Schizosaccharomyces pombe: one gene and its partner. The protein of the gene in region 1 interacts with the protein of each later gene in a biochemical or structural test. Each region holds a gene or a part of one and is shown in the gene's direction. Other genes may lie near its edges.

The links. The genes of interacting proteins can lie anywhere in the genome.
Region 2: the proteins of rpb3 (region 1) and rpb7 form a complex in vitro, tested with the Schizosaccharomyces pombe proteins (one study listed by BioGRID).

What each region holds. Positions count from the first base shown.
Region 1 is NC_003421.2:1,783,268-1,793,999, reverse strand, and holds the start of rpb3 (DNA-directed RNA polymerase II complex subunit Rpb3), read left to right. Parts: upstream 1-7,001; 5' UTR 7,002-7,020; coding exon 7,021-7,100; exon of another isoform or gene 7,101-7,142; coding exon 7,143-7,192; exon of another isoform or gene 7,193-7,238; coding exon 7,239-8,002; 3' UTR 8,003-8,561; coding exon of another isoform or gene 8,562-10,025; 3' UTR 10,026-10,208; coding exon of another isoform or gene 10,209-10,214; 3' UTR 10,215-10,732. Other genes in the region: protein Cox18, read left to right, coding at 1-234; hnt1 (adenosine 5'-monophosphoramidase), read left to right, coding at 762-1,163; sqs2 (G-patch type RNA-binding protein), read left to right, coding at 2,091-2,654; CDP-diacylglycerol-serine O-phosphatidyltransferase Pps1, read right to left, coding at 3,229-3,233, 3,317-3,680, 3,964-4,195, 4,283-4,404; SPOM_SPCC1442.11C (uncharacterized protein), read left to right, coding at 5,450-5,998; mrp49 (mitochondrial 54S ribosomal protein mL61), read right to left, coding at 6,122-6,389, 6,571-6,710; trp3 (anthranilate synthase component I), read right to left, coding at 8,562-10,025, 10,209-10,214. UniProt on the Schizosaccharomyces pombe protein: DNA-dependent RNA polymerase catalyzes the transcription of DNA into RNA using the four ribonucleoside triphosphates as substrates. Component of RNA polymerase II which synthesizes mRNA precursors and many functional non-coding RNAs.
Region 2 is NC_003424.3:2,900,161-2,903,633, forward strand, and holds rpb7 (DNA-directed RNA polymerase complex II subunit Rpb7), read left to right. Parts: upstream 1-1,923; 5' UTR 1,924-2,127; coding exon 2,128-2,601; exon of another isoform or gene 2,602-2,668; coding exon 2,669-2,713; 3' UTR 2,714-2,973; downstream 2,974-3,473. Other genes in the region: P-type calcium transport ATPase Cta4, read left to right, coding at 1-1,534; tcb3 (tricalbin), read right to left, coding at 3,209-3,473.

The sequences.
Region 1 (10,732 bases):
GATCCTCACGGTGTACTACCTGCGGTCCTTGCTGTTACTTATTTAACAAACATGTCTATATTGAAGCGACCTTCGGATTCTCGATTGCTGAAAATATTCAATACCGCTGGTATAATGTCTGCTTTCTTTGTATCTTTTATGGCATTTAAGACTTCTACGGCATTGTCTTTATACTGGACTACCTCTGCAATTTACTCTTTGGTACAAAACGTTGCATTGAGAAAGCTGTTATAGAAGAGCAAGAGTAATTCTACATGTTTGGTTCTGAAAGGTCTTAACAAAATCAAACCTGACTAGTCGAGACTCACATATTATTCCTTCTTTCTTTCCGTACATAATTACCTACATTCTTATGGTAAAGCTAGGTTTTTGATTTGTTATGGCCTACCAAAAGGAAAATCTTTTGTCACAAAACATCTGATCATGGCAAAAACTGACTGAATTAGTAATGAAAAATAAGATACTTTATTATTAAAATGCCAAATAATATTTAATAAATATCATTAGTATTACAGGCTTGTTCGTGTGACATGAGTTTGGCATTTCAAGGATGACTACCTGCAAAGCTTTTTGAGAAATGCAACCTCGCCGATTACTCCATTTTTAAGGAAGAATTTAACTATTGATTTCATGTAAGTCGTTTTTAAAATTTACATTTTTTTTAAAAACATTTGACTTATTCACACTGTTTATTACGTTAACTACGGTAAATTTCGATAATTTTCCCACTTGCACATCCTTGACTTAAGCTAACCACCACTATGAGCTGCATATTTTGTAAAATTGTTAAAGGAGATATTCCTTGTGTGAAACTAGCTGAAACAGCCTTGTCTTTGGCTTTCCTTGATATTGCTCCTACATCTAAGGGACATGCACTAGTTATTCCCAAGGAGCACGCCGCTAAGATGCATGAACTGAGCGATGAGTCTTGTGCAGATATTCTTCCCCTTGTCAAAAAGGTGACAAAGGCTATTGGTCCTGAAAATTACAATGTACTTCAAAACAATGGTCGCATTGCTCACCAATTTGTGGATCATGTTCATTTCCATATCATTCCCAAGCCTAACGAAGAATATGGATTAGGAGTAGGCTGGCCCTCTTATCCTATTTCTCCTGAAGAAATAAAGGCATTGGGCGAGGAAATCAGCTCTAAGATTAAATAGTTTTTTTTTGTTCTGTGTGTCTCGTTGAATCGAAACTTTCCTTGACTTGGCGAGAACTATAAGGAAAACATGAGCCCTGTCTTTGTAGAATAGGCTTGTGTTTTTCATGAAAGTCGTTATTGGGTGTTGTTTGACGTTTATGTTTTTTAGAAATGAAAAGTTTGTTTTATACACTTTTACCTACTTGTTTTACCTTTCCAATGTAAGTAGTTGCTGTTATCTTTGCATAGTTTAAGGTGAATAAAGGGATTTTGTTTAGTAGTGTGCATACGGAATGTATGGTACAAATGTTTGGACCTGTTATTCTAGTGATTAGAAAAGGTGTGTTTGAAGAACATTGTTCAAATTGTAGTCTAAGGTCTAAATATTAATCCATGCAGGGTAGTTGGTTTCCTAATATGAGGTTATGAAACTTGCAGACGGAAAGATTAGTAAATGTGCATCAGAGAATGTTTATTTCCAGTATCATATTATTTTATTGATGACCTAGCTTGTTTTTTTTCTTTTAAGAAAATGAAAGACATCTTGCGGCGTCAACTTAAAACTTGATTGTTTGAAGAAATTTTTGCCGGACAGCATTGAAGAATTCTAGTATTTTTAACATGCAAAATTATATTTGAGCCTTTCTATCAGGGTATTGCTAATAATTGATCAAAACCACTGCGATAGTATTTACTTACCCAAAGTAACAATTATTCATCAACCAAGTCACACTTGGTTTATAGTAGCAAGCTATACTGCACGAACAAAACTTTTATAATTGAGAGCGAATTTGTGGAATAGTCAGGCTTGATTTTAATAAATCCCTATTATTATCCTTGATCTCATAAAATTTAAGTTTCTTGGGTTGTGCATTCTTTATAGCACCAATGCCAACTCAGGCTGGTTTTTGTAAATTTGCTGAATTTTCGAACATTTATTAATACAATGGCAATTATTGTGGAAGACGGTTCTTTTATTACATCTTCTCAATGGGAAAATGTAGAGGCATCTCCAAAACCTCCTCCAAGGAAGCCAAAGATTGTTCAACCAAAAAAGAAGCCATCGAAGCACTTGAGCAATGAGGATGCTTTAGAAAAATATGAAATGCTGTTTGGTGAAAGGAGAAAAGAAGTGGAACTAGATTATATGAGCCACATTGCGGAAGAAGAGACTTCGTTGAGCATGATTGAGTATGATCGTCATTTTGCACTTCAAACTGACGTGAAATTGTCAAAGAAAAGAAAATCCAAACTTGTTGAAATGACTCCTAAAGGTTTGAAAAAAAGGAAACGCGTGCAAATACAGGAAGGAAGTGTGTCAACCAATACAAAAAAGCGTATGGACGGTCATGTTGTTGGTTCTAGCGCTCCCGCTATAAATAATGGCAAAGGAAAACAACTTTTAGAAATGATGGGTTGGTCTCGGGGGAAGGGACTTGGTTCTGAAAACCAAGGAATGGTTGATCCGGTTGTGGCTGTTGTAAAAAATAATAAACAGGGTCTTCATTAGTTTTTGACGAGGAGATTTTAAATCCTCATAGTGTATATTTACAAAACATTATTTATTTAGAAGGAAAAATTACTTTTCACCATCATTTTGGGAAAGTTTCTTTTTTATAAAGAATTTTATTTTTGGTTGCTCATCATGATGACTATATAAGAAATAATAATTAAAGGAATTTTACTATATTTTACCGTTGAGGGTACAATCACTTGAAATAATTCAATTTCATAAGTTTTTCATAAAGAGAGCAATAGAAAACTGGTAAGTTGAAAAACAGCTTCTAATTGTTAAAAGGACGGAAATACATATTTGGAAAAGGGGGAAGGAATGAACAATGATGAGTGCATTTACGTTAAAAATGGTTAAGTCGAATAGGTGAAGGACAGACTTATCTTCGAAATGGAAGAAAAAAGGAAAAACAGGATATGAGAAGAGATTCAGTAAGGATTATAAATTTAAGAGAGGAAAAGGCTTCGCATGCGAGTAACATCAAAAGCAAAAAGTGAAAAAAACTGTGTATACCCAGATCGCTGTACTGTAAAGTTTCATTTGGATTCTATTGAATAAAAGCATCAGTTGATCAAACTAAAAAATCGATCAGTTAATATAAACAAAATAAAAAAAAAGAGCATTCTAAACATATTTGAGCGAATGTAATAGAAACGTACTTTTTGGAACTTTGAGTTTCTTACTAGTCATAGCAATTCCACTCAACACAAACAAAACCACAAGCGGGTGAAATGCAAAAGGTGTGTTTCCACACCACTCACCCCAAGGTAGATTTTCATGAGTCTTTCCCTTTAAGATACAAACTCCGCAAACGGTTACTAAGGAGAGGGTGGTAGGAATGGGCGTTCCTTCGAAAAACTGAGACTTGCCAGATCCATCTTTAGGAATGGAATTGACAGAAACATTAAAACGAGCCAATCTAGTTAGACCACACAAAACAAAAAGGGAAAGTATAACGGTATCAAGGAACGTTTGGAATCCACAACAAAAGGCAAAGACGGCTGGAGATACGCCAAATGAAATCTATTTTGTTAGTATAATGATATAAAAAGACCGGATAAGAGAGAGAAAAAATATATATAATCAAGAATTATACGCAATCGCATGTTTATTGAGAAAAATTCAGACTCATTGAACAAACCGACATAATGTAAAAAACGAGAAGCAAAAAAAAAAAGCTCGACTTAGCTAAAATGAAGAAAAAATTCAACCAAAGAAGCCTCTTATCATGTTCCTCGTGTTTTTATCATGTCAAAGCAACCAATGTGAAAATAGTCTCGGAACAGATTTGAGAAGTTATACATACCAGATCAGCAAGACTATCCAATTCCTGACCCATTAAGGAAGATTTCCCACGCCAACGAGCCACTTTACCATCCAAAAAGTCAAAAAACAACGCAAATGGCATAAAGTACATTGCATTCCATAAATGGAAAGCTGATTGCTGTCCGCTTAGGCAGTAACGTAAACTTGAAAATATACTCATGACACCGCAAAACCCGTTCATTAAAGTAATCAAGTCTGCAAGGTGGAGGGCTCTACAATCCTCTAGTTAGTATTTCAAGTAATGAATCCTTTTGCAAAGTCCTTTCGCAATGGTGTAAACAAGAATACGTAAATCATACCTAATGAGTGAAAAATGTCTATTATCATTTACGTAGGCCAGTAACTTGTTCTCTTTATCATTGCTTTGGTTTGATGCATCGGATTGTAATTTCAATCCAGGAGAAACTCGTGATCTAACCATCTTCCAAAATTGGCAGTTTCTGGTTCTAATTGTACCTGTTTATTTACCGGAAGTCGAATAACTAACAAAAATAAGGCACCGCAGGGTATCGTTATGGTTGTGATTGAGAATTGTCTAGAAATGCTTAGCGATCCAGGCTTTGGAATTCTTATCAATCTTTTAATGTTTATTTATTAGCATCGTTAAAACAGCATTGTGCGTTCTGTTATTTGAATAAAAGTCGAAAAAGCTAATCAATGAATATAAAACGAGCGAAGTGTTTAAACTATTTTCCAAGCTAAATATGGTGGTTTGTGGTTTTGAATTACATGAAGAAAATAAGAAGAGGGAACGTACCACCGCTGATAGGGGATGCGGCAATTTGTTGTATGATCCAGATATGTGTGCATAAGGCAGTAGAAGGCATCGAAGCAAGATGATTAAAAACCGAGTAATGAATGACCTTTGACAGTGTATATAGTACGTCTCATTTAAAATTCCAAGTTGGACCCAACTCAAAAAGAAACAAATATCACGATCACATTAAGGGCCATTTTTCATCTAACTTTCTATTGTTATTCGACTGGCAAAAAATTGGGCTGTTGTGGGAATCGAACCCACGACCACCATCACCCTAAGATGGTATCATACCACTAGACCAAACGGCCACTATTGTTAAGTAAAAAATTTTATTATATAGAAAGTAAACATGAACTAGCTTATGTTTTTTTTGGAGCTTTTAGCATTGAACAGTACTTTGGTATGCACTATTTATGTAAATACTAGCAAGACCTTGAATTAAAACAGAATGTATTTCCTTTAAATTTTCTATTATTCATAGCTTGATAGTTAAGAACATTCATAACTAACTAAATATGGATTCCTATAATTTTATGTTCTACTATTTAATCTGGTAACAAAGCATCGAATGCGCACTTTTGAGTATTGTTTTAAACTTTTCAAACATCAACTTAAACACTCTGTTTTTTTTTGTACAATTTCTCTTAATAAGATAAAGTTAGATAACATCTTCTGTTCAGTTAAACTTTGAATCGTTTACAAGTACATGCTCATCGTTAACAGAAACCCGAAGAGTTTGGTAAGAGGATATTGTAAAAAAGATATTGTACTTCGTAATTTAGATGGTTGGCTATTTGATATGATCACAATTTCAACCATTTTTAAACTCTACAATCAAATTTGTTCACTTTCCTCCACTGACCGAAAAAAAACCTCAATATCTAATAAACTGCAGCAGGAATTTTGCATTATGGATATAAACAAAGTTGGCAGAAATTTTATTTCTTTAGGAAAAATACGATCAAGTAAGAGGAGAAACGCTATTTTGTCATACCAAACGATCATTAGTTCATTCCCTCATAATCATGTACAAAAACTTTTTCAAAGAACTCAATCAACAAATATGATTTATACCAAGTTAGAATATTTCGGTCATTCTTTGTTCTTTTATTTTACGGCATTTACGCTCTCGTTCAAGGATAGAAAAATCTTAATGCAAGCCGATGTATTTTTTAGACTAAAGCTCGTATTCAAGATAGCATTCTTTTTCACTCAAACAACTTTTTTAAATAAAAAAGAAAATAGGGAATTGTAGGTTTATGGATCATCAAACAAAGGAATACAGTAAACGGACTGCAGCAAAACTAAAGGTTTTTTAGAAAAAAAAAAGATGCATATTTTGTTCACTGAAAAAAAGTAATTTTAAAAGCGTTTTTGCTTAATTAGAAGGAGGTGAATAATCTTGTTTGTGCGCTTCCTTAATGTTTTCCGGGGATGACTCGTGATGAAGTTCTTTAAGCGCTTTTTGAATATCGGAAGAAATTGTTTCCAGCTGTTTTGACCGCATGTCGTACGAATAGATTACTTTGTTGTTTGAGATAATGGAAAATGTTGGAGTTTGATCGTTCGGTAAACGGTGATTAACGTTAAACTTCAAGCCGTAATTGTTGTAATACAATGAAGGAAGACATTCTTTTACAAATTTTCTAGAATTTAAAACGTTAGCAATGAACAACGCATGAAACGGAATCGTAGATCAGTGCTTCCTCACACAAAGTATTATCAAGCAGTTATTTGAGAGAATTAAACATGAATTGAGCATAAAATGTTTGAGGTACCAGTACATAGACAACATCGATGATTCTAACACGAATAAACAAAACTTACTTAGCACCCATATGTCCCAAACGGCTGTCTAAAGAATATTGAATAGATACTTCCTGAATATGTTTTGGTAAAGGAATCCCTAAAGCTCCAGCACGAATCTTGTGCAAAGATTTTTGTAATTTACCGCCTATGCTAGACATGGCGAAAATGTAAAGTTGTAGTAATAATCAGCCAAACAAAAATGAAAGAGTTTGAAACAATATGTTTTTATTCAAATATTCTGTCGGGATGAACAGAGAATATAAATATTAATGAATTAAGCCTAATGCCGTAGATTCGTACTCTCTTGTCAATTGTTGCTTGCTCTCTTTAAAAGCGAGTTCCTTGATCTCGCATTTAACGTAGTTTAGTGTGTCCTTATGCTAAATAAGGGATCACCTAACAGTGCGGAATGGGAGAAATGAGTATGAAATTCTGCAACAAGCATAGACCAAACGACACATTCTCATTATGGATTCAGAAACGCATATTACGATACGAAATATAAGTAAAAACTCGGTGGATTTTGTCCTTACAAATACAAGTTTGGCGTAAGTGAAAAGCTCTAGGAAATTCCTTCTAATAGTTGAAAGAGTTGCAAACTCGCTGCGACGTGTTGTACTTGCAGAGATTCCAACAGTGGGTAAGATTTAGGTTCATTCTTGAATTAAATACTAATGATGTTTTAGCCATTGACCTAGTTGAAATTAATGTGAATACCTCAGTCATGCCTGATGAGTTTCTAGCACATCGTCTTGGTATGATACCTCTGGATAGCTCCAACATCGATGAACCGCCTCCAGTAGGTTTGGAATATACGCGCAATTGCGATTGCGATCAGTATTGTCCCAAGTGTTCAGTCGAGTTGTTCCTAAATGCCAAATGTACTGGTGAGGGTACGATGGAAATTTATGCTAGAGATCTTGTTGTTTCTTCTAACTCTTCTCTTGGACACCCTATTCTCGCCGATCCAAAATCACGCGGACCGCTTATTTGCAAACTCAGAAAAGAGCAGGAAATTTCTCTGCGTTGCATTGCCAAGAAGGGTATAGCTAAAGAACATGCTAAGTGGTCACCTACTTCAGCTGTTGCATTTGAATACGATCCATGGAACAAGTTACAGCATACTGATTACTGGTTTGAGAATGATGCAGATGCAGAGTGGCCAAAAAGCAAAAATGCCGATTGGGAAGAACCACCGCGGGAAGGCGAACCATTCAACTTCCAAGAGGAACCGCGTCGGTTTTATATGGATGTCGAAAGTGTCGGTTCTATACCACCCAATGAAATAATGGTTCAAGGTTTACGAATTCTTCAGGAAAAGCTTGCAGTTTTAGTTCGTGATCTCGACGAAGAGCAGCCTACTCAACTTTCTGCTAACGAACTGAATATGGAGGAGAATGCAGAAATGAACTGGTCTCCCTATCAAAATGGTGAAGAAAACACGTGGTAGACTATGCTTCAATTCTTTTCTAAAAATTATCCATTTTCATCCTTTATATGTTTGTTGTTATAAAAAATACTCTAGATGCGTTTTTTTAATCATCTAAAAGTTTTTAATTTATGGCCTGCGTCCGTTCATGTCATACCTTACACATTTTTATCTAATCCTTTTTTTTTTGGCTTTTGGCTACAACATATTGTACGTATTGATATGCATATATAGAGATATATATTCCTCCCTCATATCATAATTTTGTTCTTCTTCACTTGGATTTATTATAGCTTTAGATAATTTCGTGAAAGAGAACACTTTCGGAATTGTCGTTTTGATATCTTTTTAATTTTCGGTGATTGCCTCTTGAACTCTTTGTTGGAAAGTTTATATCGGCTCACCATGCTCACAATGAATAGACAAAGTTGCTACAAGTGGACAACGAGATTACAGAATACAATTTTTTATAACGATGTTTTATTCGTTTACCAAAAATAAAGACAACAAAAAAGTTTTTAAAAACCTCAACACTTTAAAATAACATGTACAACGAGAACCGAAAGCGTCTCCTTTACTTTTATGCTGAAGAGTTTTCTTCTTCAGCGTATAATTTTTCGGTTTCCTCAATTGCAGTAACATTTGAACGTAGTTTGTTTAAAGTTTCCACGTACTCATCTTGTTCATCTGAATCAAACACAATACCACCACCGGCTTGCAAATAAACAGTTCCGTCTTTATAAACCATTGTACGGATTGCTATACAAGTATCCATGTTGTCATCTTCATAGCCCCAACGACCTACGGCTCCCGCGTATATACCACGCTTTTCTTTCTCTAATCCATAAACGAGCTGAATTGCACGGACTTTGGGAGACCCACTGACCGTTCCAGCCGGAAATATACTACGGAATGCATCAAAACGAGTTTTATCAGGTCTCAGAACACCAGAAACTTGAGAAACAAGATGCTGAACATGAGAAAACTTTTCAATAGTCATCAACTTGTCAACACTTGTTGTGTCGAGATCACAGACACGACTGACATCGTTTCTTGCCAAGTCCACCAGCATTACATGTTCAGCTCTATCCTTGACACTAGCAAGTAAATCCTTGGCATATGCCTCATCCTCTTCTTTAGTTTTTCCTCTTGGAACAGTTCCGGCAATGGGATGATTGATAATACGCCCATGCTCTGATTTAACCAGTAATTCAGGGGAAGCACCGATTATGTCGAAATCATCACAGTGGATGTAGAACATATAAGGGGACGGGTTAACTGTTCTTAAATGGCGGTACAAATTAAAAGGATGTAAATCTGTACGCCTAGCAATCCGTTGGCTTGGGACAGCTTGGAAAATATCGCCATTAAAGATATGTTCCTTGAGGTTGGAAACAAATGCTTTATACCCGTCTTCGCCTACATTTGACTTAGCTTCGTATCCTAAATGGACCTTCTTTTGCTCAGGCAAAGGAATTTCAGGACTTTCAAGTTTCTTTTTAAGCATATTGATTTTGAAAACGGCAGCTTCGTAAGCCTCTTCAATGGGTCGGCCTTGCTGAATGCAAACATGAGAAATTATCTTGACAGTCTGATAAGCATGATCGAAAGCGACTAAATCGTCGGTCATGAAAAACATAGCCTCCGGAAGACCCAAGGTATCTTCTAAAGGCATTTCAGTAGTGGGTTCAAAATATTTGATGCAATCATAAGAAACATAGCCCACAGCACCTCCACTGAAAGATGGCAGACCCTCAACAGGGGCTGTTTTAACTTCTTTCAACTCACGTTCTAAACGTGCCAAAGGATCTGTTTTTCCATTGGCCATTAATATTCTATAAGGGCTGCCAATAAAACTGTATCTTGAGACACTCTCTCCTTGAGTGACACTTTCTAAAATAAACGAATACTTCTTTCCTTGATTAAGCTTCAAGTAGGCTACTGAAGGAGTCAGCATATCGGCAGGGATTACTCCATAAATGGGAATCTTGTTAGCCTTGTGCTTTTCAGCAAGCTCTTGAACTTGTTTCAAGTCAGGATAAATCTAAAATAGTATTAGTATCATGTATTAATTTTAAGCTTCATAGCCCTAGAAACGGCGACTTTTACAGTTAAAAGCAATACAACAAAGGAAAGACCCAATCCTAAACTCGTCAATATATCCCAATACTACTATTTATTTTCCATAGGTTGGGTCTCCTTGTTAGAACAAAAAAAATCAAATTACCTTCATCTTATTGACAAGTCTATACTCGAATAAGTGCAAATTCAATAGCAAACCAAAAAAATCCCTTAAACTTGAACCGATCTATTTCCAGAAAGACAAGCAATTCCAAATTTTTCTGTAAGCGAAGAAAGAAAACAAAAGAACCAATTAATTCAACAACGTAAAGCTGCTGGAAGAAGACAACTTGTGAAAGTTGGAAAATTCATCTAAATTAGATGAAAAATATAACGGATGCGTTGGAAAACGTTATATGGTTAAATGTAAATAAAAGACTGGAAATAGGAATTAGGAAGTTATATTTAACTGCGGACAAACCGATAAAAGTATTTTGTTTTAGGATAAGATTTATTTTTTTCCTAAGCTCTTAGGCAAATTCTTAAAATGGCCAAAGTTTCGTCGAACATAAACTGCAATCTAGTTAAGATCTTGATTTCTTTTTTTTTTATTTTATTTATCTAGTCTCCTTGGTTTGATTTAAAAATGTTAAAAATAAAAGGCATTCGTTTAGATGAAAAGGGTGTGTA
Region 2 (3,473 bases), on another chromosome or scaffold:
GCATCGTTGCATGATGATAACTGGTGACAATCCTCTGACCGCCGTATATGTAGCTGAACAAGTTGGTATTGTTGAAAAGCCAACCCTCGTATTGGATATTAAGCATGAGAATGAAAAGATTTTAGAGTGGAAGAGCACAGATGATACAATCAATTTACCCATGAATCCTCATAAATCGTTGGAAGCTTCGTTGTACGAAAAGTATGATCTTTGTATTACCGGTCGTGCTTTGTCTCAAATTATCAATCCGGACGTTATTATGTCAATTTTTACTCACGCTTGGGTTTATGCGCGTGTTTCTCCTTCTCAAAAAGAATTCATGATCTCAACTTTGAAACACAATGGATATATAACTCTTATGTGTGGTGATGGTACCAATGATGTGGGTGCTCTTAAACAAGCACACGTTGGTGTAGCTTTATTAAATGCTTCGGAAGAAGATATGCTTGAAATGCAAGAGAGAGCTCGTAATCAGAAGTTGATGGGCGTTTATGAAAAGCAAATTCAACTTGCTAAAAGATTTAATCTTCCAACTCCTCCTGTTCCACCTGCACTTTGCCATGCTTTCCCTCCTGGTCCTAACAACCCTCATCGTGAAAAGACTCAAGAAGGCTTAAATAAGGTCCTGGAAGATTTGGAAACTAAGAAAGCTAGTGATGTTCAATTAACGGAAGCTGAGAAAGCTGCTGAAAGACGGGCAAATCTGGCTAACAAGATGTTTGACACTTTAGCAAACGCTTCTGATGATGAGGCACCGAAACTTAAGCTAGGAGACGCTTCTGTTGCTGCACCATTTACTTCTAAATTAGCTGTAGTTTCTTCGATAACCAACATTGTGCGTCAAGGTCGTTGTACTTTAGTTGCCCTCGTTCAAATGCATAAGATTTTGGCTCTCAACTGTTTGATCACTGCTTACTCGTTGTCAGTACTTCATCTGGATGGAATTAAATTTGGTGATACTCAATACACTATTTCGGGAATGTTAATGTCTGTTTGTTTTTACTGTGTTTCACGGGCTCGTCCACTTGAAACTCTTTCAAAAGAAAGGCCTCAAGCTGGAATTTTTAACACTTACATAATTGGTTCTGTTTTAGGTCAGTTTGCTATTCATATCGTTACCCTTATCTATATAACTCGTGTCGTTTATCTGTATGAGGATCCTTTAGAAAAGGTGGATTTAGAAGAAACCTTCAAGCCTTCTTTGTTGAATACTGCCATTTATTTGCTTCAACTTATTCAACAAGTCTCAACGTTTGCTATCAATTATCAGGGCCGTCCTTTCCGTGAAGCTTTAAGTGAAAATAAAGGAATGTACTATGGCCTTTTGGGCATTGCCTTTGTCGCTATTGCTGGTGTAACTGAGTTTTCGCCTGAACTCAACGCAAAACTTCAGTTAGTTAAAATGGCTTATAATTTCCAGATACAACTGTTAGCCACAATGGTTGTAGATTACGCGGCTTGTTGGATTATTGAAGAGCTTATGAAAAAATACTTCCGTGACAACAAGCCGAAGGAAATTGTTCTTCGTAATTAAGAACAATTATATAAGTGGGTTACACCTACTTATCTGTACAAGCTTAGATAAATATTCATTTGAACAAACTGATGAGTAATTGCATTACTCACTGATGGGCAAGGATGTCAATTTTCTTCGGTCAGTATACAATATTTATCACCATTTTCAATTTGATTACTTGTTATGAATATTTTACATAGACTCAATGATTGATTCATTCTTGGCATATTTGATTTATTAATTTGGAATAGTGTAAGTGAGCTTTTTATAGGACGTAATAGATGCTTATTAGAGATAAAATAATATTCACTTGTTAAAATCCTTCTCAGTAGCAAGGTGAAAGGCATATAAAATTTGGGATATTTCTATAAGCGCTATCCCATGATACTGGGACTTCGTAAATCCTCGAACGCTCAGCATATATCAAGCAATTGCGAAAACCGCTGAAAAATTGGGATAATTTAATTTAATAAAAAGAGCTAAGCTCATTTAAAGTTTTTTTTTTTAATGTTCATCATTTTTGCCCTATTTTGAACCAAAATTTTACAGTTTTAATACGCATCGACCGATCGAGTTGAATTGGGGCTTTTCTGCATTAACTTATCGATACAATGCCTTTCTTCCTCAAAGAGCTTTCGTTAACGATTTCTCTGCATCCCAGTTACTTCGGTCCTAGAATGCAGGACTATTTAAAGGCAAAATTGTTGGCGGACGTGGAAGGCACATGCTCAGGTCAATATGGCTATATAATTTGCGTTTTGGACAGTAATACTATAGATATTGATAAAGGGAGGGTAGTTCCTGGGCAAGGGTTTGCCGAATTTGAGGTAAAGTATCGTGCAGTGTTATGGAGACCATTTCGTGGGGAAGTGGTCGATGCAATTGTTACAACAGTAAATAAAATGGGATTCTTCGCAAATATAGGACCATTAAATGTCTTTGTCTCATCTCATTTGGTGCCTCCAGATATGAAGTTTGACCCTACTGCAAACCCTCCTAATTATTCTGGTGAGGATCAAGTTATTGAAAAGGGGTCGAATGTCAGACTTAAGATTGTCGGTACAAGGACTGATGCAACCGAAATTGTAAGTTTCCCAATAGTTCACAATATTTATTTTGCTTAATTAATCGTGTTACTAACATAATATCTAGTTTGCCATTGCAACAATGAAAGAGGATTATCTAGGCGTTCTTTAAAAAGATAAAATTTTAATTTGTCTTTTATTTCTCATGTTCATTAATTCAATGCTAACCATCGCGTATACTGTTATTATTAAGTTCCTTTCTAGGTCTCAAAGTTTATTCATGTAGTTGTAAAAGCGCATACCAACGTTTATCGATCTAAATTTTGGCTCTATTCTGTGGTAATGTTATGGCTAAAAGCTGCGCAATATCTTTAAAAAAAAATTTTAACTTTATATACCCTTTACACAACAATAGAATTTCCCTAATTATTGTATATAATCGCAATATCAATCGACGATTTCCTTATGAATACAATCTTGGGCTAGCATTTTATCTATTAGGAGTGCATAAGTCTTTATCGTTCTTCGGTAAATAGAAAACCATGAAAATATTCAAATACCTTATAATCAAAGTATGCATTTAACATAATGATAATATATTACTCAAATAAGTCAGAATGCGAAAACCGAATTGTAATAAAGAACTAATAAATAACAGAATGGAAAGTCACTTTGCCTTCTCGTGATGAATTCCTTTAAAACCACGGCTTATTCCTTTTCGCATTTTGTTCGTAAGGTTAGCCACCGAGGCAACCCCATCAACAGCAACATTACCTACAGTACTAATGCCTTTAAGAGGCATACCAACAATCGAAGCAGTCTGTCCAAGAATTCCTTCGACAAGAGAAGAATTTCCGGCGCGTTTGGAACGAAGGACCCATTTTGGGCTCAGAGTTATACGAAGATAAAGAACTCCTTGTTTGCTATCCAAA